7 linked regions of the Oryctolagus cuniculus genome follow. The main gene of each other region encodes a partner of the protein of the gene in region 4 in a complex. Links are inferred from orthologs where the notes say so. Each region holds a gene or a part of one and is shown on either strand. Other genes may lie near its edges. The genes, in order: KCTD12, GRK2, PTGDR2, GNB1, GNGT1, TRPM3 and FFAR2.

The links.
Region 1: the proteins of GNB1 (region 4) and KCTD12 are in contact, whole or in part, in a crystal structure (PDB 6M8S), measured with the Homo sapiens proteins. The link is inferred for Oryctolagus cuniculus from reciprocal best matches to the Homo sapiens genes GNB1 and KCTD12. Residues at the interface, in NP_001269468.1 of Homo sapiens: Arg8, Glu12, Lys15, Arg19, Thr184, Asp186, Cys204, Asp205, Ser207, Thr221, Thr223, His225, Glu226, Ser227, Asp228; in NP_612453.1 of Homo sapiens: Lys246, Asp251, Leu253, Glu255, Ser256, Arg257, Asp258, Pro259, Asp260, Arg261, Pro262, Pro263, Arg265, Arg269.
Region 2: the proteins of GNB1 (region 4) and GRK2 are in contact, whole or in part, in a crystal structure (PDB 5UKL), measured with the Homo sapiens proteins. The link is inferred for Oryctolagus cuniculus from reciprocal best matches to the Homo sapiens genes GNB1 and GRK2. Residues at the interface, in NP_001269468.1 of Homo sapiens: Leu55, Ala56, Lys57, Tyr59, Ala60, Gln75, Asp76, Gly77, Lys78, Pro94, Leu95, Arg96, Ser97, Ser98, Trp99, Val100, Met101, Leu117, Tyr145, Ser147, Asp186, Met188, Cys204, Asp228, Asn230, Asp246, Ile270, Cys271, Asp290, Phe292; in NP_001610.2 of Homo sapiens: Tyr553, Gly556, Lys557, Asp558, Phe584, Pro585, Asn586, Arg587, Glu589, Pro597, Gln598, Leu600, Thr602, Glu604, Ala654, Leu657, Val658, Val661, Pro662, Lys663, Met664, Lys665, Asn666, Lys667, Arg669, Pro671.
Region 3: the proteins of GNB1 (region 4) and PTGDR2 are in contact, whole or in part, in a cryo-EM structure (PDB 8XXV), measured with the Homo sapiens proteins. The link is inferred for Oryctolagus cuniculus from reciprocal best matches to the Homo sapiens genes GNB1 and PTGDR2. Residues at the interface, in NP_001269468.1 of Homo sapiens: Thr50, Arg52, His54, Leu55, Gly310, His311, Asp312, Ser334, Phe335, Lys337; in NP_004769.2 of Homo sapiens: Cys59, Arg60, Arg62, Lys314, Arg317.
Region 5: the proteins of GNB1 (region 4) and GNGT1 are in contact, whole or in part, in a cryo-EM structure (PDB 7L0P), measured with the Homo sapiens proteins. The link is inferred for Oryctolagus cuniculus from reciprocal best matches to the Homo sapiens genes GNB1 and GNGT1. Residues at the interface, in NP_001269468.1 of Homo sapiens: Leu30, Ile33, Thr34, Ile37, Val40, Ile43, Met45, Arg48, Arg49, Trp63, Ser84, Tyr85, Thr86, Phe235, Pro236, Asn237, Asp254, Arg256, Ala257, Gln259, Leu261, Ser279, Lys280, Ser281, Gly282, Arg283, Leu284, Leu300, Asp323, Gly324; in NP_001316355.1 of Homo sapiens: Met31, Val33, Lys35, Cys36, Cys37, Glu39, Val40, Arg41, Tyr43, Val44, Arg47, Ser48, Asp51, Pro52, Leu53, Val54, Ile57, Asn62, Pro63, Phe64, Lys65, Glu66, Leu67.
Region 6: the proteins of GNB1 (region 4) and TRPM3 are in contact, whole or in part, in a crystal structure (PDB 6RMV), measured with the Mus musculus proteins. The link is inferred for Oryctolagus cuniculus from reciprocal best matches to the Homo sapiens genes GNB1 and TRPM3. Residues at the interface, in NP_001153488.1 of Mus musculus: Lys57, Tyr59, Trp99, Val100, Met101, Leu117, Tyr145, Gly162, Asp186, Met188, Cys204, Asp228, Asn230, Asp246, Arg314, Trp332; in NP_001349418.1 of Mus musculus: Lys615, Arg616, Lys618, Ala619, Lys621, Leu622, Leu623, Gly624, Met625.
Region 7: the proteins of GNB1 (region 4) and FFAR2 are in contact, whole or in part, in a cryo-EM structure (PDB 9CM7), measured with the Homo sapiens proteins. The link is inferred for Oryctolagus cuniculus from reciprocal best matches to the Homo sapiens genes GNB1 and FFAR2. Residues at the interface, in NP_001269468.1 of Homo sapiens: Arg52, His54, Leu55, Asp312, Ser334, Phe335; in NP_001357016.1 of Homo sapiens: Arg37, Gln38, Pro39, Gln40.

Annotation. Positions count from the first base shown.
Region 1 is NC_091440.1:35,613,310-35,617,390, reverse strand, and holds the start of KCTD12 (BTB/POZ domain-containing protein KCTD12), read right to left. Parts: upstream 2,801-4,081; 5' UTR 2,563-2,800; coding exon 1,579-2,562; 3' UTR 1-1,578. UniProt on the Homo sapiens protein: Auxiliary subunit of GABA-B receptors that determine the pharmacology and kinetics of the receptor response. Increases agonist potency and markedly alter the G-protein signaling of the receptors by accelerating onset and promoting desensitization.
Region 2 is NC_091432.1:4,736,464-4,739,087, forward strand, and holds the end of GRK2 (beta-adrenergic receptor kinase 1), read right to left. Parts: intron 2,598-2,624; coding exon 2,435-2,597; intron 2,338-2,434; coding exon 2,201-2,337; intron 2,115-2,200; coding exon 2,001-2,114; intron 1,688-2,000; coding exon 1,523-1,687; 3' UTR 501-1,522; downstream 1-500. UniProt on the Homo sapiens protein: Specifically phosphorylates the agonist-occupied form of the beta-adrenergic and closely related receptors, probably inducing a desensitization of them. Key regulator of LPAR1 signaling.
Region 3 is NC_091432.1:11,723,167-11,727,421, reverse strand, and holds the start of PTGDR2 (prostaglandin D2 receptor 2), read right to left. Parts: upstream 2,801-4,255; 5' UTR 2,681-2,800; intron 738-2,680; 5' UTR 729-737; coding exon 1-728.
Region 4 is NC_091438.1:163,893,410-163,897,351, reverse strand, and holds the start of GNB1 (guanine nucleotide-binding protein G(I)/G(S)/G(T) subunit beta-1), read right to left. Parts: upstream 2,801-3,942; 5' UTR 2,529-2,800; intron 1-2,528. UniProt on the Homo sapiens protein: Guanine nucleotide-binding proteins (G proteins) are involved as a modulator or transducer in various transmembrane signaling systems.
Region 5 is NC_091447.1:42,000,558-42,004,684, forward strand, and holds the start of GNGT1 (guanine nucleotide-binding protein G(T) subunit gamma-T1), read right to left. Parts: upstream 2,801-4,127; 5' UTR 2,644-2,800; intron 2,550-2,643; 5' UTR 2,543-2,549; coding exon 2,447-2,542; intron 1-2,446. UniProt on the Homo sapiens protein: Guanine nucleotide-binding proteins (G proteins) are involved as a modulator or transducer in various transmembrane signaling systems.
Region 6 is NC_091432.1:159,810,223-159,813,722, reverse strand, and holds part of TRPM3 (transient receptor potential cation channel subfamily M member 3), read right to left. Parts: intron 2,460-3,500; coding exon 2,430-2,459; intron 1,692-2,429; coding exon 1,402-1,691; intron 779-1,401; coding exon 550-778; intron 1-549. UniProt on the Homo sapiens protein: Constitutively active, non-selective divalent cation-conducting channel that is permeable to Ca(2+), Mn(2+), and Mg(2+), with a high permeability for Ca(2+).
Region 7 is NC_091449.1:19,139,642-19,143,913, reverse strand, and holds FFAR2 (free fatty acid receptor 2), read right to left. Parts: upstream 2,801-4,272; 5' UTR 2,650-2,800; intron 2,186-2,649; 5' UTR 2,029-2,185; exon of another isoform or gene 1,883-2,028; intron 1,787-1,882; 5' UTR 1,786-1,786; coding exon 793-1,785; 3' UTR 112-792; downstream 1-111. UniProt on the Homo sapiens protein: G protein-coupled receptor that is activated by a major product of dietary fiber digestion, the short chain fatty acids (SCFAs), and that plays a role in the regulation of whole-body energy homeostasis and in intestinal immunity.

The sequences.
Region 1 (4,081 bases), on a different chromosome or scaffold from region 4:
TGTTGGTTACAGTTTACCTCTAACACCATTTTATTGCTCAGCTCGCTGTTAAGTAGTTATTTGCCTTCATTTTAGAAATCTCATTTTACAGCTATCTACACAGATGGGTAGCCCCTGGTGCTCCTACTTCTCAGCAGCTCTGTCACTTGAAAAGATTCTACTTGAACTTCAAACAAACTGCGTGGGGGGAATGTGGCATTCTCAGGTTTGCCCCGCAGTCAAGGGTCACTGGCTTTGAAGAAAATGAGGATTTTTAATGAGATCTGAAGTCTAAGAAGCCAAGAGCAAACTCCCTTTGCTCAAGTAAATAGATTCTAAAATCGAGATTGATAACCACAAGGAAATTAAAAGTTCAAAAACTAAAACCCTACTGGGTAACTCTTTGGTTAGATTAGATACCTAGTAGCAACTTCTAAGTTTAGGACTAAAAACAGTTAAATAAACCGCAGTTAAGAGTAGGTCTATTACTAATCTTCACGAAATGCTTAGCTGTGTTTGCATTTTACCATTCGGTATTTTCAAATATGCACGTATTCAAATGGATGCTTAAAACTTCTAACTTTCAAATAATAAGAGTATCTATCTGTCCCTCCCTTCCCACCCTCTTCTCCTACCTCCCCACCCCACCCGCAAAGTCCTAGCTCTAAGAAAGGTCCTATTACCATTCACTGCAAGAATACAGTTCTGCTAATGCCCACGAGCGTCTCCTGGCCCGGTCGCGAATACAATCACTTCCAGGTAACCACTCCCCACGGAGCGGAGGCCTGTTTGGTTCTAATTCTTAGGAGACCAACACCCCTTCTCCCTCTTGCCCCCAAGGGCTCCCACGTCACCCCAGGGAACCAAGGGCTCCTGGCGCTGAAAGGGCGCCTCGCCAGGCAGGAGGATCCACGCTCTCCAAGTTTCAAGACCCTGTATTCCGTAGGGAAAAGACAGGACCCTTGACCATGTGAGCACCAGTGCTCCTACGTCTACACCTGCAGCTTTTCAAAACCTCACTCGTGTACAACCGAAGTGCCTCAGCGACGCCCTCAATCCGGCTTCACAGAGGGTCAGCGATGGCAGTGAGCTGTTAGGACACCAACTCTCTCCCCCAGGCGGGGTCACCATTCTGCGCCCTCACACCACACGGGTGTCAGAAGGGCTCGAGATCTCAAGGAATCTTCGCAGCACTGCACAGTCTGAACGGGTTCCCAACACCTCGGTTCTCCCCCCCGGTTCGTGCCGGCTTTGTAACCACACTGGCCCGCTGGATCCAGATTGAAGTACAATCTGGGGGAGGAGAGGTTTGAGGCAGCAAAAAGAGGAAGCATTGGGTGGGGGTGGGGACGGGGACGCGCCTGGGCCCCCTAGGTTAGCCGAGTCCGAAGAAAAGAAAAGAGGATGGATTTTTCTGAAGCGGGGGTGGGGGAGGGGGTGGGGGGGGTGGAACGGTCTGACCCAGGACAGGACCGGGGATTGGGGACCTCGGGGCAAAGGGAGACAAAGGGCAAAGGTTAGGGATGGGGAGCGGTCTCTGATCCTCTCCCCCGCCGAGGGGTGGGGGCGGGCGCCGGAACCGCGAGGGGTCCCGGGAGCTCACTCCCTGCAGAAGACGTACTCGGTGTAGCTGGTCCAGATCTTGTCTTCGCTCTGGTCGGTGCTGCCGGCAAAGGCGCAAGTGCCGGTGGAACTGCAGGCCACCATGTGGAAGCCAGACTCAGACAGCTTGTCGAAGGCCTGCTCCAGGAAGTTGAACTTGAGGTAGTAACGCGAGGTGTAGCGCTCCGGCGGCCGGTCAGGGTCCCGGCTCTCGTTCAGGGTGTCCCCGAACACCTCCTTGGCCAGGGACGTCTTGCCGCACACGGTGATGCGCGCCACCCGCCGGAACTTGGCATCTGCCTGCGCGTCCCGCCCGATGGTGTAGGAGCCGCGGTAGCCGATGGTGATGTAGCCCGAGCGCCGGCTGCCGTCCAGCGACTGGGACGGTGTGAGCAGCGGGCCCGCCGCGCCCCCGGACGGGCTGCGGCTGGCCGGCTCCAGCGTGGGCGACGGCGCCCCGGCCGAGGCGCCCTCCTGCTGCTCGGGCTCCGCGTAGCCCAGGGCCAGCAGCTCATCGCCCAGTGAGCCCTCCTTGGGCACCCCGCGCCGCGAGTGCGGTGGTGGCGGCCCCGGGCCGGGCTGCTGGGGCGCCCCGAGGCGGCGCACGAGCTCGGGCAGCTCGAAGTACTCGGCCTCCCGCTGCAGTCGGCTGCGCTCCGGGAAGTAGTCGGGCAGCACGAGCTGCAAGTCCCGCAGGTAATCCAGGATGTAGCGGAAGAGGAAGCCGTCCCGGTCCAGAAAGAAGCGGCCTTTGCTGTCCCGGGCCAGCTCCTGCGGCTGCTGCTGCGTGAACATCCGCCAGAGCAGCGAGTCCGGCACCGACACCACCGTGCAGCGCCGGGTCACATACACCTGGCCCCCCACGTTCAGCTCCACGATATCGGGGAAGAGCGGCGGCTCGGCGGACGACGATGAGGAGCCGCTGCCGCCCCCGCCGCCGCCCCCGTTGGGTAATCCTCGCGTGCTGTCCGCCAGAGCCATGGCAAAGAGGTGGCCCGGCTGGGGCAGTAGCAGGGAGCAGGACTGCACTCGAAAGCTGCAGCCGCTTTCCCCGGAGCCCCTGCCCGGGACGCGCTCTCAGCCCTCCGCCCGAGCCCGAGCCGCACGGAGCCAAGTGCAGCTAGCGCGCCCCGCTGTGAGCCGCGGGAGCTCCGCTGCGCTCCGGCTGCCTCGCCCGCGAGCTCCAGGCGAGTGCCAGGTCGCAGCCCGCGCGCAGCTTAAGTAGAGGCGCCCGCTCCGGCGCCGTGGCGCGCAGGAGGCGTGGGCGGCCGCTGAGCGGTGGAGCCAGGCTCCCCCCACCCCAGGCGGGAGGGTGGGGCGTGCTTGCGGGATCGATTTGCATCTTAAACGCTGACGCGGGGCCTCGGCTAGGCTGCTGGCTCCACCCTGGTTCAGGCGCACCCAGGGGCGACCTCGCTCCCAGCCCACGGCACGCCTGGCTCCCCAACGGCCGGCTCCGTGCTTCTGCCCAACTTTCTCCCTTCTCCCGAAGCGCTCAGAGCCCGGGACTGGCTTCGTCGCAAGACAGCAGTGACCACTCCGATTCCCTCCAACCCCGGCCCGCACGGAGGACTCAGACAGAGGACGCCAACTTTCTGACACTCCCAGCCCTGGGACTGGAAGTGCAGGGCCACCTCCAGCCCGGCCGACCCCGGAATGGACCCATCCAAACCACGCAGCCCGGGCGCTGCCTTCCTGGGGTATGGTAGTTTTAGAAACAAAAAAATCTGGAGACACAGAGAAGGCCGCCCAACCCGGAAGGAGCCACACTGTGTGCACGGTGGCCTCAAAACGAGCCCTGGACACCAAAGGTTGACTTCAGAGTCCTGTGCAAAACTCTTTCCCCAAGTTCAAGCTCTGGGTGCAGCGCCAGAGGCGCTGGTCGGGGAACCTCAAAGTAGGAAGCTGTGAGCTATTACAGCACCAGGGACTTGGCTGGGCGAAGGGTGTGATGTGGGGGCGGCCAATGCAACCACCTTCCCTCCCCCGCAGCGCTGTCTAGGCCAGACTGAGGGAAGAGTGAGTCCATACTGGACATTGTAAATGATACAAGAAATCCCAGTGTCTGCCTGATCACTCCCACGTGTGGATCCTGCCAGAGATCCATGCACCCCCGCTCTCCTCCACGTCCCCGTCATTCCCTTCAGCCCTTCCCCGATTTCCCCAGAGGGAGATTTTTGTAGATGGGACAGCATCTTTTAGATCCTTTCTGGCTCCCCAACACTTGCTCCTTGCACGTTACTAGACAGATGGCAGCCCACATGCCACCTCCCCCGGAAGCCTTCCCTGGCTTCCCAAGAGGGTAGAGTCTCCGGACTGCTGCCTGCACACGCACTGCCTCCCGCCCCACAAGTCCGGAATGTATTTATGACTTTGTATACAAATATATACGTGCACCTGAGCGCGTCGGGAAGCCGAGGAGAAGCCAGAGGAAGATAAGACGACACGACACGGGTCAGGGTCAGCGAATGTTTGCTGGGCACCTGCTGTTTGCCGCTTC
Region 2 (2,624 bases), on a different chromosome or scaffold from region 4:
GCCTTGCCCCATGCCTCCACTGGGGCTGTGGGCAAAAGTTGACCGGGAAGGTGAGCAGCCTGCTACAGGGCGACGCCCCAAGCCTTTGGACCTGGGGGCCATACAGCAAGGCCAGCGGGGAGACCGAAGCCAGGAGGGCCGCCCTGGCCGGGGGCTGCGGTCCACCCTACAGGGCAGCACAGCCTCCTGGACTGACCCCGGGGAGGGACTTCAGCCGGGAGCCTGCCAAGCAGGGCTGCTCAGGCAGGCAGAGGTGGCCAGCTGGTGCGAAGCGATGCCAAGTGCGGAGCCACTGGCACCACTGGCAGCTTGCCGGGGCGGTGGGCAGAAGGCAGGGGATGGGTACTGGATGGCCGCCAAGGGGGAGCGGGGCACGGTGGCAGAGTGGGGGTGCCCTGCCTCCCCTAGAAGAGGGTCCGGCTCTGGGGGCCCCGGGAGCTTCCCGCATCAGCCCCCCACCCAGCAGCAGTGGACACATGCAAGGAGACTCGGACAAGCAGTCAGGCACCATTTTTTATAAAAACGCATAGTCTCATTTTCCACTCTTTAAAATCACATTCAAAAATCGGCAAAGAAACACCCCAGGGAGTGAGCAGACGGAGGGGAGGGCGCGCCGACCCAGCCCCCGGGGAGAGGGTGCGACACCACACACGGCAGCGCGACTGGCACGAGGGGCATGCGGCAGGCGAGGCGGTGCCCGGCGGCACGGACAGGACGGGGCTGTGGAGGGGCACACGGCCGGCCCTCGCGCCATGCTGCCCGCCCACCCAGGCGGGGCCTCCCTTGGCCCAGGGCTTGGGGGGCCTTGAGGCCAGGCTAGGCCAGTATGGCCCAATCCACAGTTGCCTTTCTGTGGTCCCTGAGCCCAAGTGCTCGGGTGGGAGGGAGAGGGGGCTGGGAGAGAGGGGTGTCGGGGCGGGGCAGCACCTGCTGCCCACACCACCCTCTTGGCTGAGCCACGGTGTCCAGGGCAGGCTGCGACACGGAGGCTTCTCCCGAACAGGGCACCGGAGCCCGAGTCGCCACAGGATACAGCAGGTCCCCTCTCTCCGCCAGCGGCCGGCGAGCAGGACAGCATACCGTCTGTCCCCATGTCCCGGGAAGGGCCGCAGTGGGCAAGTTCAAGTAGAATCCTTGTGCTGCGCCTCCCTGTGGCAGAGGCCCCGCCCCCATCCCCCAGCCCCACCCTGGGCACAGGACACAGCCCGCGGAGCCCCAGGGTACAGTCAGTGTGACGTCGTGCCCGGGCCAGGGGCAAGAGGCCCGCCGCCCCGCCTCGCCCCTCTCACAGGAAGACACTGGGAGCAGGCGGCCCCTGGAGGTCGGGGCAGGGGGCACTGGACAGTGGCCAGGGGTGGCAGCGGGAGCCAAGGCAAGCGGGCCCCTCCCTGGGGGCTGGGCCAGGCTGGGGCCACAGGAGATCACAATAATTACAAAATAAAACCTTTTCCGCTTTGCGGGAAAACAAATAATAAAAATCCGACAAAATAAATTAGAGGTCTACAAAAGGCGGCGGGGCGGCTCACAGGCCGTTGGCGCTGCTGCGCTGCACCAGCGGCACCTTGCTGAGCTCCACCACGGGCGAGCGCGGCTTGTTCTTCATCCGGGGCACCCGCTGCACCAGCTGCTGCGCCTCGCGGTAGGCGTCGCGAAGCTCCTTCTTCCACTGCACCAGCTCGGGGTCGCTCTGGAGGCGGGGGCGGGGCTCCGTCAGCACCTGCCCGGAGCCCCGCCCCGGGGGCTCAGGAGTCCCAGCTCCAGTCCCGCCCCGTCCGGGAGCCCCGCCCCTACCCTGGAGCCCCGCCCTGCCCGGGAGCCCCGCCCCCAAGCCAGGAGTCACTCCCATCCGGCCCGGGAGCCCAGCCCCCACCCGGGAGCCCCGCCCCCAAGCCTGGGGTCCCAGCTCCCATCCAGCTCCGTCCGCGAGCCCCGCCCCTACCCTGGAGCCCCGCCCCCACCGGAGCCCCGCCCCCCGGGAGCCCCGCCCCGCGCCCACTCACGTCGCACTGCAGCACGAACTGCTTGCCCCCGCGGATCTTGAGCAGCAGGCACTTGCGCTCCTTGATCTGCGTCTCCTCCACCGACTGGATCTCCTCCATGGTCAGCAGGCTCTGCTGCAGGCGCCGGGCGGGTGGCGGGTGAGGCCAGGCCCAGCCCCGCCCCCGGCGCCCCCCGCCCGCTCCCCACCTGCGCGGCTTACCGGGGCCTCGCCCTCGCCCCGCCACTCGAGCCGGTTGGGGAACAGGTAGAAGTACCGCCGCTGCCACTGGGTCAGGAAGGGGTTGCCCATCTTGGACATGTAGCCATGCATGATGCAGTCCTTGCCCAGGGCGTAGTCTGGCGCGAGAGAGCGCAGGGGCCTGAGCGCGGCGGCCCACCCCGCCAGGCCCCGCCAGGCCCCGCCAGGCCCACCCCGCCCCGCCCGAGCCCTCACCTTCCTCGTGGCCCAGCTGCTTGTTCTTGGCCTTCTTGCGCGCCTCCAGCCGGTCGGTCTCGGCGTTGATGGTGTCGAAGACCGTCTCGGCCACCTCCTGCTGCCACCGCTCCGAGATGGTGAGGGGGAAGTTGCGGTAGAGCTCCTGGTCGCTGTCCAGCAACTTCGCCGCAGGGACAGGGGGCCGTCA
Region 3 (4,255 bases), on a different chromosome or scaffold from region 4:
CGGCCGGACCGCGGACGGCCGCGGTGGCGCAGCTGCACGCTCACGGCCGCGTGGCTGGAGGCGATGATGACCAGCGGCACCAGGAAGGCCAGTAGGAACTTGCTGATCGCCAGGGCCGCCTGGCGCCAGTTGCAGGTGGCATCGAGGTCCGGCCCGGGGCTCAGCAGCAAGACGTTGTAGTAGCACATGATGCGTCCGTCCCGCCGCGGGATGGTGTCACGGAACACGAAGTAGGGCACGGTGTTGAGCACTGCCAGGGCCCAGAGCGCTAGGCAGAGTCGGTGCGCCGCGGCCACCGTGCGGTGGTTCTGCGCCCACACGGGCCGCACCACCTGCAGGCAGCGGTCCAGGCTGATGGCGCTGAGGAGGAAGCCCGTGGCAAACATGTTGAGGAAGAAAACAGAGGAGTGCAGCTTGCAGAAAGGGGTGCCCAGCTCCCACGAGTGGCCCACGGCCAGGAAGTAGGTGAAGAAGGGGAGGGAGGCGGCGGCCAGCAGGTCGGACAGCGCCAGGTGCAGCACCCAGGTGGTGACCACGGTCTGGCGCATGCGGAAGCCCACCAGGAAGATGATGAGTCCGTTCTCCACCAGGCCCAGCACCCCCGCCAGCCCGTGCAGTAGCACCGAGGCGTGGTCCATGTAGCGGATGCTGGAGTTGCTGTGGCTTTGCAGCTGGCTCATCTGCTCCAGGAGGGGGCACAGCGGCTTCAGCGTGGCGTTGGCCAACATGGTGGGGCCCTGTGGGGACAGGGAGGAGGCACCCAGGGGAGCGTTGTGGTGGGGAAAAGGCGCTGGGGTTGGCTGGGATGGGGGATAACATTCCAGCTCCCCCTCCCCCTCCCTGTACAACCTCAGGCAAGGCATTGACCCTCCCTGCGCCGGTTTTCTCCCCATGTGGCTTGGGTAGCAGTCCTGACAGTACCTGGCTCATAGGGTAGCTTAACTGGAAGAGTTAAATGAGTTAATACACTAAAGCGTGTAGAACGCACACAGCAAGGCTGTACCGGTGTCATGTGATTATTAAGCAAATGATCTAAGACAGCGAGGTCGGCCACCAAGGACTCCTTTACCCACTCCCCAGAACCCCTGTGGGATGACTCTGGGCCCCAGTGGGGGAAGCAGGGTCCAGAGAGGAGCAGTCTGGGCCACCCCTTCCCACTCACAGCACCCCCACCCTTGCCTCTCTGCAGATGCTTCCAGCACCCTTGGCGTCCACCGTAGTGGCAGATTGAGTGTGTTGGCTGCAAAGAGAAAACTTGCCCCTCCTCCGCAAGTAGGAGAGGAAATAAGATAAGAGGAGGGCGTGAGCCCTGCAGGAGGAACCACCTGATGGGGGCCCTAGGAGCCCAGGGGCCAAGAATCTCATCCCTGCCTGCCGCAGGAAACTCAACCCTGCTCCCTCCTTGATGCCCTCAAACCCACGCCTGCTCACACAGGAGGTGCCAAGCAGCTGCTCAGGGACCTGCTGGACAAGCCAGGCTCTGGTAGAGGCACCGTGCTGGGACGTGCGTGCTCGCAGCCTCCCCAAGAACCCCAGACCCTCCAGTGAGGAATCAAGTGGGCCACTCCCTGTGGGGGTGGGGGGTGCTCTAGTTGTGCTGGGTTCCCAGGCCACAGCAAGGATTGCAGCAGATCCTTCCAAGAGGCACTCTCATGTCACGGGTCTGCTCCATCCCATTTTACAGAACAGGAAACCGAGGCTGATGTGTACAAGTACCTGGCCCAGTCACCCAAACTGCAGAACCATGTACAGGAGCAACAGTGGAGAACGCGAACGCGGCTGGGGCTCTATCCTTGCTTAGAGATAATGGGGGGGGGGGGGCAAGAAAACTGTCGTCCAGGGTGAGAAAGTGGATTCCTCTCCAGGGATCACAGTCCTTTAGGGTAGTAACCTGACATACAAAACTGGAGTTTCCCTGGGAGACAAGGCCTTGGGGTCAAGGGTCTGCAGGCAGGTGGGAGGGGAGCAGCTGGGCCTGCACACCCTGAAAGTGGCCGTAATTCCTAAGTTTTTGGGCTTATAGAGCAAATACACTCGCAATGAGACCCTGTTTTTCAGAAGAGAAAACAGGTTCTGAGAAGCTCAACAACATGCCCAGTGCTCCTCGGCCGCAGCCACGGGGCTGGGACTCATTCCCCACCGACAGATAAGTGCACCACCGTCCCCACCCTGTGCCCAGAAACATCGCTTCCTGTCTGAGTCCCCTGGGGCTGCCCAGAGCGCACAGTCCTGCTGCACCCCTGGGAACCATCCAGACCTGGCCCTCTAGCTACATGGAGACAGCCCCCAGACCTCCAGGGGGTCCAGCAGCTGGGGTCATGCTTTGAGAGGGAGTTGGGAGAAGAGAATACAAACTTTGGGAATCCAGGACCTGGATTTGAATCTTAGCTCTTCACCTCCTGGCTGGGTGAACTTGGATCAGTTATCCTAAGCCTGCTAGTGTAATCTTGCCACCCAAATGGCTAGCACACATTGAAAGAGACAATATGAATGGTTTACCATTGTGTTTGGCATCCAGTTAAGGTCTGGGAAAATGCAGTCCCCTCCTCTGAGCATCTAGCCTCCCCTGGTCTCTGCCTCCTAATTGGTAAGAGCCCTCTCTCCTGGTAAAACTGTGCCTTCTCTGTTGGATCCAGGGAGGCACCAGGACAACCCCATCCCTGGGCCCCCACCTCCTTACCTGAGCACAGAAAGGGCACAGGATTCCAGGCCCTGCCGAGCGAGCAGGGAGCTCCCAGCAGTAGGCAGAAGAGAGGCAGCAGGCAGGCGGAGGCAGGGAGTGAGGTTGAGGGAGGAAACCGCTCTCAGCCCCAGAGTGCGTGCGTGCTTGTGTGTCTAGGGGTGGGGTGGCGGAAGGCGGGGACAGCTGCCAAGTGTCACGCTGGTGTTCAAGTCTCATTCCTCTCCATTCATGCCGGCAGTTCCTGCTCCATCCCTGCCACGGAGGAGACGTTGCAGAAGCCCCAAGAGCAGTGCACATGCACATGGTGTCGTTGCTGTGTGCACGGAAGTGGGAGCCCCAGCATGCTTTGGAGAGTGACAAGAACGAGTGCAGGGGCCAGGGGACGTCTTGACCAGCTGCCCACTGTCCCTGGGATACCCTGCCCGACACCATAATCCTCAAGAGAGGGAGCCCGTCTGGCTATTCTGGGGCCCCGTGCTGGCGCTGCCCGCGCTACCCCCGCCCCTCTCACAGGAAGGTCAGTCACTTCCCTTTGTGGCCTCAACACAGTTTTGCCACCTGGGACTGGCAGTGATCATGCCTGCCTCTCAGGTCAGGGCAAGGGTTGAGGAAGTGTTACCTGGTGCACAGTAAGTGCCCGACAAAAACAGCTCCTCTCCCTGGGAGGGAAATGGGTACAGGGCAAGGGCTACACTGCTTTTATTTTCTAAATAGGCTCAAAACCCTAGGAGACGGGCCAGCATTGTGGTGGTGCAGTAGGTTAAGCCACTGCCTGCTGAGCCAGCATCCCACATCAGAGTACCTGTTTCAAGTCCCGGCTGCTCCACTCCAATCCAGCTCCCTGCTAATGCACCTGGGAGGGCGGCAGCAGATGGCCTGAGCCCCTGCCACCCACATGGGAGACCCAGGTGGAGTCCCAGGCTCCGGGCTTCAGCCTGGCTTAGGGGAGTAAACCAGCAGATGGAAGATTTCTTCTCCCTCTCTCTCTCTCTCCCTCCCTCTCTCCCTCTCTCTCCCTCTCCAGTGTCTCCCTTCGTATCTCTGTCTTTCAAAGAAGTGCATTTTTTTTAAAGAAGCCCTAGGGGAGGGGAAAAGACTGAATCTATGCATTGGCATTCTACTGTACCCTGACTCTTTGTTTTTTAAAAAAATTTATTTTATTTATTTGAAAGAGTTACAGGGAGAGGTAAAGACAGAGAGAGAGGTCTTCCATCCGCTGGTTCACGCCCCAGATGGCTGCAACGGCTGGAGCTGCACCGATCCGAAGCCAGGAGCCAGGTGCTTCTTCCAGGTCTCCCACACGAGTGCAGGGGCCCAAGGACTTGGGCCATCTTCTACTGCTATCCCAGGCCATAGCAGAGAGCTGGATCGGAAGAGGAGCAGCCGGGTCTAGAACCAGCATCCATATGGAATGCCAGCACTTCAGGCTAGGGCGTTAACCTGCTGCGCCACAGCGCCGGCCCCTACCCTGACTCTTGACCACCCTTCGATGACCAAGTGCCAAGTGTGCTGGGGTGGGGGCCACTCCTCCAGCCCAGCATCTCTTGGGAGCCGCTGGAATTCTCCCACTAT
Region 4 (3,942 bases):
GCCTTCAGCATTCCAATTCTAGTAGGTTACAGGATACAGAATTAACCTGCCCCTTGATAAAACGCATTACGTTCGCAGTGATTATTAAATCATAATCATCTCTCATCAGTGGCACAACAGGCTGAATTCTCGGGTAATTCTAAGAATCATTTTAGTTAAGTCTCGTCTTTTAAATTAAGCTCTTCGGAAAGGCTCCTTCTCAGAATTCCGATTTAAGCTAATAAGGGAATACGTTCACTCAGTCTCACTAGCAGCGAGCAAGCAGCCCGGGTCCACGGAAGGCAGCGCCTGCACAAGGACACAGGACGGAGCTGAGGCGGCTCCTCGCCTCCCCTGGCCGCGCACGGCTCGCGGCCCGGAGCCGCCGCACTTCCCAGGTGCGGGGTCTGAAACAGAGCTCACAGCTGTGGGGCACAGGCGCCCCGTCCCCCGCAGCCCAGCCACAGGGCCCTGCGCTCCCGTACGTATACACACTCCTTCAGTGTGAAGTCTCAGCCATGTAAATCATTTCCCTGTCTCAACACACATTCGCTTTTATTACAGATTTATTTATTTACCTGAAAGGCAGAGTTACACAAAGAGAGGCAGATACAGAAAGATCTCCCACCCACTCACCCGCCGGTTCACTCCCCAGATGGCCGAACCGGCCAGGGCTGGGCCAGGCTGAAGCCAGAGCCTGGAGCTCGGTCAGGGCCTCTCCCGTGGGTGCCGGGGCCCAGGCACCCGGGCCTCCCTCAGCTGCCCTCCCAGGCGCACCTGCGGGGAACTGGCTCAGAAGTGGAACAGCCGCTGGGGCTCAAGCCCCTGGATCTGTTCTCATCCCCCCATTTCATGTGAAACCGCTTCGTAATCCCACCACTCATTTCCATCAGCAAACACAAACCTGAAACCAGAATTCAAAACAGTGTTTAAAAATAATCTAAAGAACCCTGTCCACGTCTTACGAGACTTGCACTAAACAGGGGTTTCAAAATCATATTGCTTGCCATATGGTCAAGCCCAGATAATAAAATTGAGCCTATCTATTACCAATCCACTAACGCTGAAGCCAAAGCCGCAGGCAGCAAGAATTTAATCCAATTTGGAGACTGACATGAGCCAAATCTCTCGGGCGGAGAAAAACAATCCAATGAAGAAGCTACAGCAGATGCCAACACTGCACTTCCGAAATGAGACCAGTGTTCCTCCTCAGAGCAGGATGAGCCAGAGCCCACTGCTGCCCGCGGGGCCGAGACCCCCACCCTCCCCGCCGGCCGTCTGGGGGCCACACTTTCCCGGCGCAGCCAAGAGAAAAGTTCAGGGCGCGGCCCCTGCCCGCAAACCCGCCTCCGGCACCGGGCAGGCGGAGCGCTCTCCGCTCGCTGCTCCGGAGTGAACACGAAACCGACCCCTCGCGTGCCAGGCAGCAGGGTGGGCGCGGGGCCACCTCCTCAGGCGCCCCCGGCGCGGATTTCCACGCAAGAAAACCCCGCAGCATCCTCGGGGCCCTCGCCGGCCCCGGCCGGGCACCTGCACTGCAGCTGCGGCCCTCGGGCTCCCGCCCAGCCCCGCCGCGCACCGCGTGTCGCCGGCCGGCGGAAAGGGAACTGCTCCCTCGCCGTCTGGCTGCCGCGCACCCCCGGAAGCGCCCGCATCCTCACGTCCAGACGGCGCTCCTTCCCTCCAAAAAGCCTGCAGCTCCACCGGAGCGGCACGCCACGCACACGCCACGCGTGCCCCGGAGACCCAACGCGCTGCCCGCAGCCGCCTGCCATCCCCGCACCGGCGAGCTGGCCGTGACAAAAGCCCAGCTGTCTCCCCCGGGCAGCGACGGTGACAGCACGGTCGCACCGACGGACACACGCAGCAGCCCACCCCGCGCCCACCCGGCGCGCCCCGGAGGGCTCCTCCCGCGGCCGGCGCCCCGCGCCGCAGCGCCCCACGGCGCCCCCAGGACGAGCGCGGCCCCCAGGACGAGCGCGGCCCCCGGAGCACGCGCCCCCACGCGGGACGCCCAGGGCCGCGGGGGGCCCGCAGCCCGCGGGGCCGGCGACAATGGCCGCGCCGCGGGGTCGCCATCTTGGCCGTGGGGCCCGGACGCGGCGCCCACGCCGCGCGAGGGCCGGGGTCGCCGCGGGGTCTCGCCCGCCCGCGCGGCGCTGGCCCCCGAGCTCCGGGCCGGGGCGGCGCGACCGCCGAGCCCGGGGCCGCCCGCCGCGGCCGCCCCTCCGCGCGGCGGGGCTCCCGCGGCCCGGGGCGCGCCAGCCTTTGTTCTCGCGGCCGCGGTCCGAGCCGCCGGGCGGGGGCCGCCCCCCGACCCGCGCTGGCCCGGGCGCGCCCTGGCCTCGGGGCGGGCTCGGACCCCCGCCCGCACCCCCGCCGCCTCCCGGGGCCCCGCAGCCCCACCCGGGCGGGGCAGGAAGACGCGGCCCGGCCGGCGGTGGGGGCGGGGCGGGCGCCGGCGGGCAGGGGAAGGGGCCCGCGGGGACGCCGGGGCACCGGGGACCGGGCCGGGGGGCTCGGGGCTGGGCCGCGGCGGCCGCGCTCACCTCGGCGCCCTCGCCCGGCCTGACGCCCACGCCGCCGCCGGGGCCGCTCGAGGCTGGCGCTCGGGCCGCGCTGCGGGCGCTGGGCAGGTGCGCGGCGAGGCTGTGGGTCCGCGGCGGCTGCTCGCTCCGGCCGCTCCCGCTCCGCTCCCGCCCGCGCCCGCCGCCGTCCGCCCCTCAGACGCCTCCAGCCATCGGGATGGGCGCGGCGCCCCTGCCCGCAGCTCGGGAAACCCCACGCGCCGCGTCACCGCGCACGGCCGCCGGGCGCGCGCACGCACGCGCGCTCCCCGAGCCGACGCGCGCGTGCGCGGGGCTCTTAAAGGAGCCCCGCGGCCCCGGCTGCGGCCGGACCTAGGCCCTGGCTCCCCTGCTCGCGCCGGCCGGCGCCCGGAGAGCCGGTTCTGCGCCGCGCACGGGCCGAGGGCCGGCGCATTGCGGGAGACGGCGCCGGAGGGCTCTGGAGCCCGGTGCCCCCGAGTGGCCTCCCGCGAGGAGCGACCACGTGCGTGCCGAGGCCCGACAGCCGAGGCGCGGGCGCCGGGTGGGGAGGGCGGGGGTCGCGATGCGTCCGCTGGAGCCTCGGGGGCCGTGGACTCGCTCCCCCCCCCCGTCCAGCTGGTCTGGCCGCGGTCCCAAGTCCAACCCGAAGCCCCTTTCCCCGGGCGTGCGCCCGTGCAGCTGGGCTCGCTGGAGCCGCGGCCTGGACCCTCCACACCGCGTGGGCCCCGCGTGAGGCGGCTGCCAGGCAGAGGGGGGGTGCGCGGACCTGGGTGTGCCACGGAGCACGGGGAACCTGCAGGATCTCGCCAAGGCCCACCCCACGCCGCGGGGCCCATGTGCGGAGGACCCTCCCCCCGCCCTGCTGACCCCCACAGGAAGGCTCCTGACTGTGTGCACCAGTGTGGGCGTGTTCTCCTGCCCCCCCCCCGCCCTGTGACTCCAGCTGCTGGCTCCGGTGGGGTCACCGCCCCAGACATGTTGTCCTCTGGCCCTGGCCGCCTGAGACCCTGACCGACCCTTGCCCCTGCCACAGTGCGAGGCCGGCCTCGCCCACCGCTCCCCGGCCCCACCAGGCATCCCCGGGAAAGCCACAGCAGGTGTGGAAGATGTGGGGTGATGCTCGGCTGTGCCCAGCACAGGGACACCATACAGTGGGCCCTTGGTGGGGCAGCTTCACTGGCCAGTGGAGTGTGAGTGGTGGGCACAGATATGGGCCTCAGGGAAGGGCTGGCGTGCTGGGCAGCCCCAGGGCCACGGGGCAGTGGAGCCGCAGAGGGGTGGATCTGGGCATTGGAGGTGGGTCCCGGCCTCAGTGCCCACCCGAGGTCCAGGACACAGGAACGTCGGCAGGGAGGCGGAGGGTGCAGCGCGCAGGCCAGAGCGGGCAGGGGCTGTGTACGTGGACGCCGGGAGG
Region 5 (4,127 bases), on a different chromosome or scaffold from region 4:
TGAGAAGTGCATTCTTTGGTGAAGACAGCTCATCTAGGGTCCCATTACTGTAAAATAAGAATAGCAACACTGGTTGCATTAAGCGCCTAACAAGAGCCTGACGCAAGAAGATGCACCATCAAAGGTAACTTCTTTTAGCAAACACTACAAAGATTGTTTTTAGCCATTGCCTGCCTCATCATTGAGAATCTGTCAGTTTTAGAAACTAGATGCAAAGGGTTTTCTTACTCTGACAATACTAGTGCATTGACAACAAAATAGATTGAGGCATAATATGACAAGTTTGGTTCATAGATATTAATAATTTTAAATATCAATAGTAAAATAGTGTAGAAAGCACTTGTGTCCTGGACGTTGTTCTCAGAACTTTGTGACCATTGTCATATTTATTTCTCCCAATTGTCCTCTCAATTAAATGCTATTACTACCTCCACTTTGAAGAACACAGGCAGATGTCAATTACGTAGATTAGCTTAAGTGAAGGTGACACAGGCCGAAAGTTGTTGTGGAACCAGAATCTGAGTCAGGAATATGGTTCCGAATCTACCCATTGAACCATGGTAGTGATACTACGTCAGTCAGAACTCTAGGTTCAGGACCTGGCGCTTCCATGATGAATATGTGTTCACCTGAATGCTTTATCTCCTGCAAACCTGTGCACTGAAATCCTAACCCCTAAAGTGGTGGTATTAGATCATGGGAGCAGAACCCTCACAAATGGAAGCAGTGTCCTTAGTGAAAAGACCCAGGGAGCTTCCTAGTTGCAATCACCAAGCAAGGACGGAGGGAACAGAGCACTGTGAATGAGGGAGTGGGCCCTCACCAAACACCGAACCTGCTGTGCACCTTGACCTTGGATTTCCCAGTTTCCTGAATAGTAAGGAATAAATTTCGGTTGTTTATAAGCTACCCAGGCTGTAGCACTCTGCTATAACAGGCTGAACAGACTAAGACAATGTACCTCCCCCCACACACACTTCTCTCTCTTTCTGTGTGTGTGTGTGCGTGTGTGTGTGTGTGTGTGTGTGTGCAAGTGCTTGCCATCTGATATTCCAAGAGCCTGGAAACTGAATAATAGGGGAAAAGGACCCCAAAGCCTGGTGGATGGTGATGTATATGAACTTTATCCCATATAAGAATTCTGAGGTAAATTTACCACAAGTGAATAATAAGTATGAAGACAACCAGATTGCTTACAAAACAACAATCCTGAGTACACAAATAATAAGACAGTGTTTGGATTTTTTTTTTCAAATAAAGAAGAAAGAAAAACATTCCTTTACCGCAGACATTTATTTTTCCTTCAAATTACAAAGATAAGGGTTTCAACTTATTTCTTGCATGTTCCAAGTTTTGTGCTGGTTATAGACTTAGTTTTATCTTTACAGTGAAACACATTTTATTTCATGGAAAGGAGAGCAGGTAAGTTTGAGACAATTATAAATATAAAAGAAGCTAAAATCCCAATTTTGATTGGGAGTAAAATTGTAAGCAAAGTACGAAGAGAATATAAACTCCCTTTCCACTTTGTCTTGATAAAGTTAGATTTTTTTAAAAAAATATGTAATATGCTGTTATCATCTACAGAGAAGTTTTTGTTCTACAAATTTCCTAAAATGAAGAAATCTAAAATGCACATCTGTGTTTTCCAAGCTTCAGTCACTGTTTATTGTTGGAAGCTTTATTCCTTTGCCATTTCTATTCCTTCTAAGTGCAGAGAACTCTTGTAACCATTTCTGAGACCTGCCAGATGTGTCTAGGAGGAGCCAAGGAGTTCTTGTGCTTGAATTCTTTGTTAGGTAAAAGAAAATTTGCAAAAGAAGAATGGAATGCATTCATTTATTTCTGACCATGACAGTGCTGGGATCTGAGGTCATGGCTCTAAGTGTCTCAACAATCACAAAATATTACATGGAAAAAAGGAAAAGCTTGTGAATTTAGAAAAGTAAAAACAAAATACCTGTATGCATTGCTTCACTTTATTCTATAGCTAAAATACGATCTCTATTTCATATTCTTCTTCCCTCTCTTCTGTCCTTTGTCTGTCCTTTCTTCCTTCCTTCCTTCCTTCCTTCTTCCTTCCTTCCTTCCTTCCTTCCTTCCTTCCTTCCTTCCTTCCTTCCTCTTTCTTTCCTTTTTAAAAAAATAACTCTTTAAACTGTAAAATCTTTCCTAGTTTGGCAGTCATGCAAAGCACAGATTAAAGGTTAAATTTGGCTTATGGAAAATAATCTGCTTACTCCTTGAATTAAAGTCTCAATCAACAAAGAATTATGATTATTAATTTTATCAGTCTCTGATGAAGTTTTACTTGAACAGTTTATTTTGAACCATATTTAGCCTCCTCAGTCAATAATAAATAAATGAAAGACAGTTAATGCTTTCCAATTTAGCATTCCACAACATCTTTAGCTTAAACTAAATCCAGAAGCAAGCAGGAAATTACCAGCATTCTTTCCAGAGTCACCTCTTTCTTGAGCTGGTCAACTTCCATCTTCAACTTGTCCTTTTCCGTCAGGTCTTCGATATTGATCACTGGCATCTTTCACCTGCCAAAAAGATAGGAAGTGAACACATAGAACTGAGTTGCTGGAATCACTTTGAGTCCACCTTAGCCAACTGTGCTCTCAGTTTGTCACTTACTAAGCAAGCTGTTCTTTGTTTTATTTTAAATTTCCTGTGATAATCAATTTCTCATGAGCCGTCTCTGAACAATTCTAGCACTGAACAGTAGTCTTGGGATTTTAAAGCTTCTTCGTAATCTTCTCTAATATGATTAAGCCAAGTATCTGACTCTAAACACCTGCCAGTGGGTTTGCAAGGAGGGGTCAGTGCCGTTCTATAAAATCTGAAATGCTTAAAGCTCCTCCTTCCCCCCTCTCTTTGTCATAGTGTAAGATTTCGGGTCATCAACCTTCATCTTCCAGTTCCAAAGCTGCTCACTTTATAATTTGTGCCATTTAACCTAGTTCGAGGTCATTTTGAGGACTGCTCATTAATCTGCTAAATCACTAGCGTACTTAATCTGGTATTTAAAAGGAACCGTATAAAAAGTGTTATTATACTTCAGTATAATGACTTGAAAAGTGATTAATTTGGAAATACTATAAACAACCTTCTTCATCAGAAATAAAGTAGTGTACTATTTACAACTGTGTCTCCAAGCAATACCTGGGATTTCTATGTAACTCTCATGAATTGTATAACAAGGATAAACAAATGCAGTAGGTTAGCAGGGGTACCAATGCACATCTCAACAAGAATAGACCCCTCCATCCTACTAGGAATCTTCTCATCTCTTCAGTTGGAGCCATCTTCCTCATTACACATTGATTCAAGTGATCCTCCTGTGAAATTCTCTAGGAAATATTTCATGGTAGCCAAGTGGTGCCCTTACAGGGATTCCTCTTACAGGATACCACATGTGCATCATTTAGTTCCCTTGACATCATTTGTAGTAGATGCTGTTGTTGCCCTGCCCATATCTCCAAACTTTCCTGCACAGGTTGGTTTGGCTGATGAGAACTCAGGTATTAACTGATTGAAACTAGGAGATTCTTCTCCAAGCTGGTCCCTGAGGGTATTGCGTAACAAAAGGTTGGCTGATGTGTGGTCCAAACAGCCTCACCTTTCACTTCTGGACAAGCTTTCTGCAATACGGAACCTTCCAGAACTCCTCAGGTTTGGGATAATGCTAGTCTTCTGAAACCTCATTTTTTATTAACTTCTCCTCCTGCTCCATCTTGCTTTTCTTACTCCTCCAGAGGTTTCTTCTGTGAGCTTGCCCTTGATAAATCACTTAGGTTCTGCTTCCAGGAGATCCAACCTTAGATATAATGGATCATTAGGACCTTTCCTAGGAAGGACAGACTCTTTGTAACTTTCTTGTGCTCATTTTTGCTTGCCTATTATTGTCTGTATTGTTTAGCACACAGAAGAGAATCAGGAAATCTTGACAAAGGCACTTTTAAAAAAAATTTATTATTTATTTGACAGGTAGAGTTATAGACAGAGAGGGACAGAGAGGTCTTCCTTCTGTTGGTTCACCCCTCAGATGGCCGCCATGGCCGGCGCCGTGCTGATCTGAAGCCAGGAGCCAGGTGCCTCCTCTTGGTCTCCCATGGGGT
Region 6 (3,500 bases), on a different chromosome or scaffold from region 4:
CTTTTCTTCATTTACGAGTACATTAGGATTATAGAGCAATGTCTTTATATGTAAGCGTCCTATTTTAATAATTTGAAAATTTCTCAAGCATATTTGTTGAGACCCAGGGTCTGTATGACATGATGCCAGGAACAACGCCAGGGACTTCAGGCTGCCACTGCATGCAGAGCTAACCAGGTTTGGGCTCCTGGTTCAGCATGGCTTATGCCACTGCACAGGTACCTGGGCATAACCATCACAGTGTTCTGAAAAATATTGTTTGGGCCCCATGTTTAGATATTCTGGTTCAACAGGACTTGGGGGTTGGGGGAGAGATTGCAGTGCATATATCTCTCTCCATATATATATATATATATATATATACACACACACACACACAAACACACACACACACACAAAACCACCAGACAGGAGAGTCTGATGGGAGTTAGGATTTAGCATCATCCTCCTGAGATAGAGAATGTCCCATCTCACTGCAGATTTGGCTTGGCAAACTCCAACCAACCCACTGGCCCTCATAGCCAACAGGGCCTTCTTGGGTGCACTGACCTTGAGGCCCGAGTTCTTGCGCATGCGGAGCCGGCCCATCCACATGTCGGTGAGCAGCATCTGGCTGCATGTGTGGGCAATGAAGTCACGGTGCTTGGCAGCCACCGCGAGCTGCAGGCACGTGGCATTGCTCCAATTCTTTAACTCATACGTCAGCAGTTTCATGGCCAGCTGCTCATCCTGCTTGTAGGACTGATCCAAGAGCTCCACTGCCAGCTGGCCAAAGTCCCTGAAAGGAAAAGGGCATAAGAGTCCTTCAGGTCAAGTGGGAGACTTAGGTGAGAAAGGCAAGCACCCACTGCCAGTCACAAATGCGGTTGATGTGGAGTAACTGTTTCATATGGGGTCTGGTCTGTGCTTAAGTTCCTCTAGTCACATCCACTAAGCATCTACTGTGTGCCAGATACCATACTCAGAAGTGGAGATGTCAGTCAAACAAGCCAAGATCCCTGAACTCAGAGCATTCAAGGCAAAGGATGGGAGAAGCAGTCAACCAAGGAATGTAGGGTGTCTTCTTCAATGTGACCGACCTCAGTTTAAATCCCAGCCTTGCCAACCACAACTGTGTAACCTTGGACAAATTACTTCAAATCTCTGAGCCTCATTTCCACAGCCAAAAGAAGTGCTTGATAATTGGACCCATCTCTGGGTAGGCTGATAGGATGCGGTTTTATCTTCTGCGTGTCTGCAGGTGCCTCTGTGTGTAGCACTGTGCACAATAAAGGCTAATTATTTTTGTTCATCCTCTGGGTGCAGCACTGGGGTGACCCTGCTCCCCTTAGAGTTTTGGGCAGCTCAGACTCTCCAGTCTTTGGGGTCTATCTGACCACCCTGCTCCCCAGGCTGGCTAACCTGGAATTGTGATTCAGTTCCTGAGAAATGTCATCCACCATGTCGTTCTCGGAAGCCTCGTGAGCCATGGCTTTGCAGAGCTTACAGGCCACGAGGGCTTTGGCCATGGCCTCCTCGCCATGTTGCCAGAAGAACAGGGCCATCTTCTGTCGCTTCATGAGGACGGCCCACACCATCAGCTCGTGGAAAGGGAAAGGGAAGTGGTTGATCTCAGGGTCATCCAGGTCAATGTCCACCTCCTCCTCCCGCTTCTTGGTTGTCTTTCTTCCTCGCCTCAAGGGGATATCATCCTGTGGTTTTAGGGAAACACATAGAGGAGGAGTTAGAATTGAATCTGTTTATTTTAGGGAATTACTGTAGATCTTCTGTTGGCTCAGCTCTGGAGCAACACTTTAATGAACTAGGCCGGCTCCTTTCTGAAAAGAACTCACAAGCTCATCCATGCCTAACTATCTAATATAATAAATGCATAGGTCTAGTCCTAGGGGAATATGTAAGTTTTATACTTAATTAAAATGGTTTTAACGGGTCTTTTCCTTTCCACTGTAGTCCATGTTTTTCCTCTACTTGTAGGACTGTTTATACCACATGAGGACCAGCACTGTCTTTTTTGCTAAAAGGACAAGGGCATCCTTTCCTTGCATCTGCATGTACAACAGTAGCCACGTGGACAATGATTGGAAACAGACCATCTCAAGTTTCTGCACATTCACGAGATGCACTTGTGGAGGAGTTCTGGGCTTTTGTAAATACCCATGAATAGATTTTGCTTACTGGAATTTATATACTTCCTGGGTTTTCAAGTTAGTATTTCAGATAGGATTTTTTTTTTGTTGGCAATGCTAATATAACCTCCTGGCAGAATTTTCAAAGCTATGGTCATAGCCCCCATGACACTTGGACAATGTTCATTTCCTTATTTTAAAATCATACACTAAGCTCTACCACTGAAATGAGCTTACATGTTTATTTTTTAAATGTGTAATAAAAAAGAATAATTGACACTAAAAATTTGAGCAAATGCTTACCTCCATTCCCAGCAGTTTCAAGGCTTTGGGCTGTTAAAAAATATTGCAAACAAAGTTAGGTCTTTCTTTCATAGTGGTAAGAACAGAATCCTACTGTATCTTCAACAAGTAATATAAGAACTCTATTGTACTCTATAGTATTTGCTTCATGTCACTAAACAAAACACCATTTATTTACAGAAATTCTAGGGAACTAGGGATTGGGTGATTTTGGTGCATCACCAAAAACTAGGAAAGTAGAGAGAAACATAAAGATTATCTGAGGCTAGAACTGGTGGGTTTATAATGTCGGCTGTGGACCAAGATTTCCTTCACCCTCTTTAACAATCCTGCTTCACTGACATCTCTGTGACATCCAGTACTTGAATGAATGCTATGGTCTGAAGGTTTGTGCCCCTCCTCAAAGTTGTGGTGATGTCTCAATCCCCAAAGTGATAGCGTTAGGAGATGGGCCTTTGGGGGAGGTGCTGAGGTCCAGAGGAATGAGCTTTCATAAATGGGAATGGTGTCCTTACAAAAGAGGTTTGTGGGAACCCGCACACTCTTCTCCCGTGTGAGACGAGGTAGCAGGCACTGTCTCTGAACCAGGAAACAGGCCCTCACCAGATGCCGGGTCTGCTGCTGACTTGATGAAACTTCTCAGCCTTCAGCACCAGAAGCAGTGACTTTGTGCTGTGTACCAGCCACCCTGTCACCCTGTCTATAGTCTTTCTTTTTACATGCAGAGTGGACAGTGAGAGAGAGACAGAGAGAAAGGTCTTCCTTTTTGCTGTTGGTTCACCCTCCAATGGCCGCCGCGGCTGGTGCGCTGCGGCCGGCGCACCGTGCTGATCCAATGGCAGGAGCCAGGTGCTTCTCCTGGTCTCCCATGGGGTGCAGGGCCCAAGCACTTGGGCCATCCTCCACTGCATTCCCTGGCCACAGCAGAGGGCTGGCCTGGAAGAGGGGCAACCGGGACAGAATCCGGCGCCCCGACCGGGACTAGAACCCGGTGTGCTGGCGCCGCAAGGCAGAGGATTAGCCTAGTGGTGCCGGCCCTATAGTCTTTCATTATAGGGGCTTGAGTGGACT
Region 7 (4,272 bases), on a different chromosome or scaffold from region 4:
ACAAGGTTCCTGGGGGCTCTGAGGCATTGCCTTCCCCGGCGCAGCTGCATCCAGTTCTCCACCCCATTCTGCCTTCCCTGTGCTTACAGAAATGCTACAAAACGGGGCCACTCGCTGGAGAGGTTTAGTGTCTTTATTTCAGTCTCCCAGACCAGGTGGCTTTTCCTGCACTAGGCCGGGTCAGCGTTAGACTAGGGGTGCCCAGCCCCTTCCCGGAGGCAGATGAGACCCAGACCTCACCCACCGGTGGGGGATGGGAGAACACAACACTCGAAAATGAGCAGAGCAATGGGTCAGACTGGTACCCTGAACCCCAACCGCATTAGAGGTCGGTCTAAGCCCCCAGCCCTCCCTTCTGGTCCCCTTAGCTCAGGACCTTTTTGGGCTCTTGCTTTTGTTTAGTATTTCCCAACCATCTCTCTCCCGTTGGCTTCCTCCAAGCAGCAGCAGCAGCGAGACCAGCGTCTGGGCGTCATACCCAAGCTTGGGGCGAGATCCTTTAGGCCCCTCCGCTGCCCTTGTCTGGTCATCCCAGCCCCCAGCCCCCTCCCAAGGACTGAATTCAGGTTAACAGCTCCTGAAGCCCTAGCCTGACGGTGCCTCCACGCCTAACCGTTTCTTCTCGTGTCCTTGGGAAGGGATACCAAGCTGGCAAGGGAGCCTTTTACCCAGTCCCCGAGGTGGATCAGGCCCCAGGATTCCCGAAACTGGGACGGGACACCTCCTGCTCCGGCACCCTGGCTGCCCACCCCCTGTGCCCTCCAGGGTGCTGCCGAAGGTCCAGGGAGACCGCTAGTCCGACATGAAGTCCGGAGTCGCCATTCCCTCCGCCCGACTCCCAGCCCTGCCCCCTCTCGTCACCTCTGCCGTCTCTTTGCCCTCGCGTCCCAGGGGCGAGGAGCCCGGGTTCCGGAACAGCCGCAGCCCTTTGCCGAAAGCGCGGCGCACAGCGGCGGAGGAGAAGTAGAACAGCAGAGGGTCCAGGCTGGCGTTGAGCGCGCTGAAGACCACGGCCTCCACCCGCCACGGGGGGCTTTCCTTGAAGTAGAAGCCCACCAGGTGGGAGAAGTTGTAAGGCCCAAAGCACAGCAGGAAGTTGAGAAGCGTCACGACGGCCAGCCCCACGGCCCGGCGCCGCCGCTGCGTCCCCACGTGGGGCTGGGTGAGCATGATCCACACGAAGCGCCAGTAGCAGAAGATGGTGACGGCCATGGGGATGAAGAAGAGGACAAGGCAGAGCTCCAGGCGCACAGGCAGCACCACGTCCAGCTGCTCCTGCGTGAAGTTCTCGTAGCAGGTGATCTCGTTCCGGCTGCCCACCTGCTGGGTGGCGTTCAGGTACTGCACCACGATCACCACGGTGCAGTGACCGAAGGACATGATCCAGGCCACCAGAGCGGCGATCACGCCGTACACGGGCCGGCGGGCGAGCTTGTACTGCACGGGGTAGGCCACTCCCAGGTAGCGCTCCATGCTGATGCCCGCCAGCAGCCACGTGCTGCAGTAGATGCTGCTGTAGAAGCCGAAGCCCGTGAGCGCGCACACGACCTGCGGCAGGTACCAGCGGAAGTTGGACGCGGCCTCCACGATCTTGAAGGGCAGCAACAGCAGCAGCAGCAGGTCGGCCACCGTCAGGCTGAGCAGCAGGATGTGCACGGGGGCCGGCTGCGGCTGGCGCACCCTCTCCACGAAGGCCCGCAGAGCCAGGAGGTTGGCGGGGAGCCCAGTGAGGAAGATGATGATGTAGGCCGTGAGGATCAAGGAACTGTGCAGGTCGAGCCTCATCCTGGAGGAGGATTGGGAGAGAGGGCAGGGTCGGGGCCTGGCCGGGGCCGGGGCCGGGGCCAGGGGCGGGGTAGGGGGGCCCTCCCAGCCGGCGGACCTCCTGGGGATCAGGACGCGCACATCCTCCCTGGTGCTCAGACCGCTGCCCGGGCTCCAGCGCTCTGCCGCTCCCGCCACCTGCCAGAACTGCCCAGAGTAATTATTGACTTTGCCTTGGGCGGGATATTAGGCTGCAGTAATTACGTTTGCCATCCTGTGTCTCTGGGGGAAACCAGCCCTCGGCTGCCTGAGGGAATTCCCCCTGCAGGTTGCCGGGCCTTTCTCCTTGTGCCCTCACAGCTATGGGAAGTTGCTGGTCACAGCGTCCAACTTCGCCGCAGGCTCATTCCAGCTTGGAGACCTGCAGGAGAGAAAGGCGGCAGTGTGAGGGCCGAGCAGAGCTGGAAGGCGGGACTCAGGGGCACCGGCTGCTCTCCCTTCTGTCTCCTGCACCGCACGGAGTCTCCGCTGCTGTGTCCAGCCCTGTCCAACAGCAGCCCCAGGGGACTCTCTGGAAAGACGAAGCCGGGGAAAAGTGGAGAAGGGGAAGGGTGAGCCAGTCCTGTGCTTTGGGGCTTGTCCCTGAAAGCCCTTACAGAGACGTCTAGAAAAGCCCACGGCCACAGCTGTCTGGCCCCTCCTCTTGCTGGGGTGCCTCAGTTTCCACATGTGGCCAGTCCAGGTTCCGCTCCCCGTCTTGGGTGTGAGCCCCCAACTGCAGTGCGTGTGACAGATTCCTCTAGCCCACCCAACCTCTCCCCCGCCCCACGAATTCTGAGCCCACCGTCTCTTTCCAGAGCTCGTGCCCCAAGCTAGCTGCCTTGCCTTGTCTGCCTGCGTTCCAGAGAGATGACTCCGGGGAGTTAGTCCTGAAGGAAAAGTCTGGAAGCTCCTAGCAAGGAGGGACAGAGCCTTAGCCACTGCTGCTGGCTGCTGGCTGCTGGCTGCTGGCTTTATACCAGCCCGTGTCATGTGACCCGAGAGAGGCAGGTCAGCGGTGAACACGCTTCCCTCGCGAACCCAAAGCAGAAGGCCCTGGCTCCTTGGCTCTCTCCCTAGAGATCCTGGCTCTGACTTCCAAGCACAGATTTGTCTCTTCCTAGTTCCTGGTTTTTTCTTTTCAATCACAGGCATTTTCATTTCTCACTTTCCAAGCCAGAGTCTCCTCTTTTCTTTGCTAGGCGATTTCTTCTGTAATTCTACTCTTCTTAGAAAAGAGATTTCCCACTTCCTTTGATGGATTATTATTATTATTTACATTCTATATGATCTCCTGCCCTGTGTCTCCGGCAGACTTCTCTGGGCCTTTCAGTTGGAACAAATTGGCTTTTCCTAGCTTGCGGCTTGTTCTGCTGGAAATAGTGTGGGATGTGGAGTCGGGCAGATGTGGGCCCCGATCCAAGTCCCCTCACGGGGACCTTCGGGTGATCAATTTCCTGAGCTTCAGTTTCCTTTCCAGTGAAGTGAGCCTGGGAACACTGACAGCCAGGATTTCTGTGAGGTCGCCTTTGGCAGGGTGCTTCAAAAAATCCGGGGAGATAAATTAAGATCCATTTATTTTGGTATCAAAAAAAAACCATGGAAAGCCATGCATAATTTTTTTCATAATACACATCTCCGTACACTTTTTGAAGATCCCTTGCATGCACAGATTTCAAAATTTTTCCCACCAAAGCAAAGGTATCCTTGAATTCTACTATCCAAGACCTTTGTGCGGCTGAAGCCCTGGCTCAGTTCAGGATGGTCTGGCCACCTGCTGTGAGAAAGTGTCAGGAATGCAGGTGGCCCTGGGGAGTGGGTCTCGGCTCCACCCCCCCCCCCCCCGCCCCTGTTTGCCCTGTTTGTGCTGGGCCCAAACTCTGAAGCATCTTTGTTTTTTCCCATTATTTCCCCCTCTCTTGTGTGCTCCAGGCTAGAAGTCCTTAAACTCCTTTGTTTTCTTTATTCTGTATTAGAGAGGCAGAGGGAGGTGGGACGGAGTTGGGCGAGGTCTCTCCGTGTCTGGTTCCCTCCCTAAGAGGCCAGCTCTGGCTGCTGTGGGGGTTTGGGACATGAACCAGTGCATGGGAGGTCTCCATCTGCATGCATCCCTCTCTCTTTCTCTGCCTCTCAAAATACTTCTTTTAAAAATTAAACACACTGGCCGGCCCGCAGCTCAATAGGCTAATCCTCTGCCTAGCAGCGCCGGCACACCGGGTTCTAGTCCCGGTCGGGGTGCTGGATTCTGTCCCGGTTGCCCCTCTTCCAGGCCAGCTCTCTGCTGTGGCCCAGGAGTGCAGTGGAGGATGGCCCAAGTGCTTGGGTCCTGCACCCTATGGGAGACCAGGAGAAGCACCTGGCTCCTGCCATCGGATCAGCGCAGTGCGCTGGCTGCAGCGCGCCGGCCGCGGTGGCCATTGGAGGGTGAACCAACGGCAAAGGAAGACCTTTCTCTCTGTCTCTCTCTCA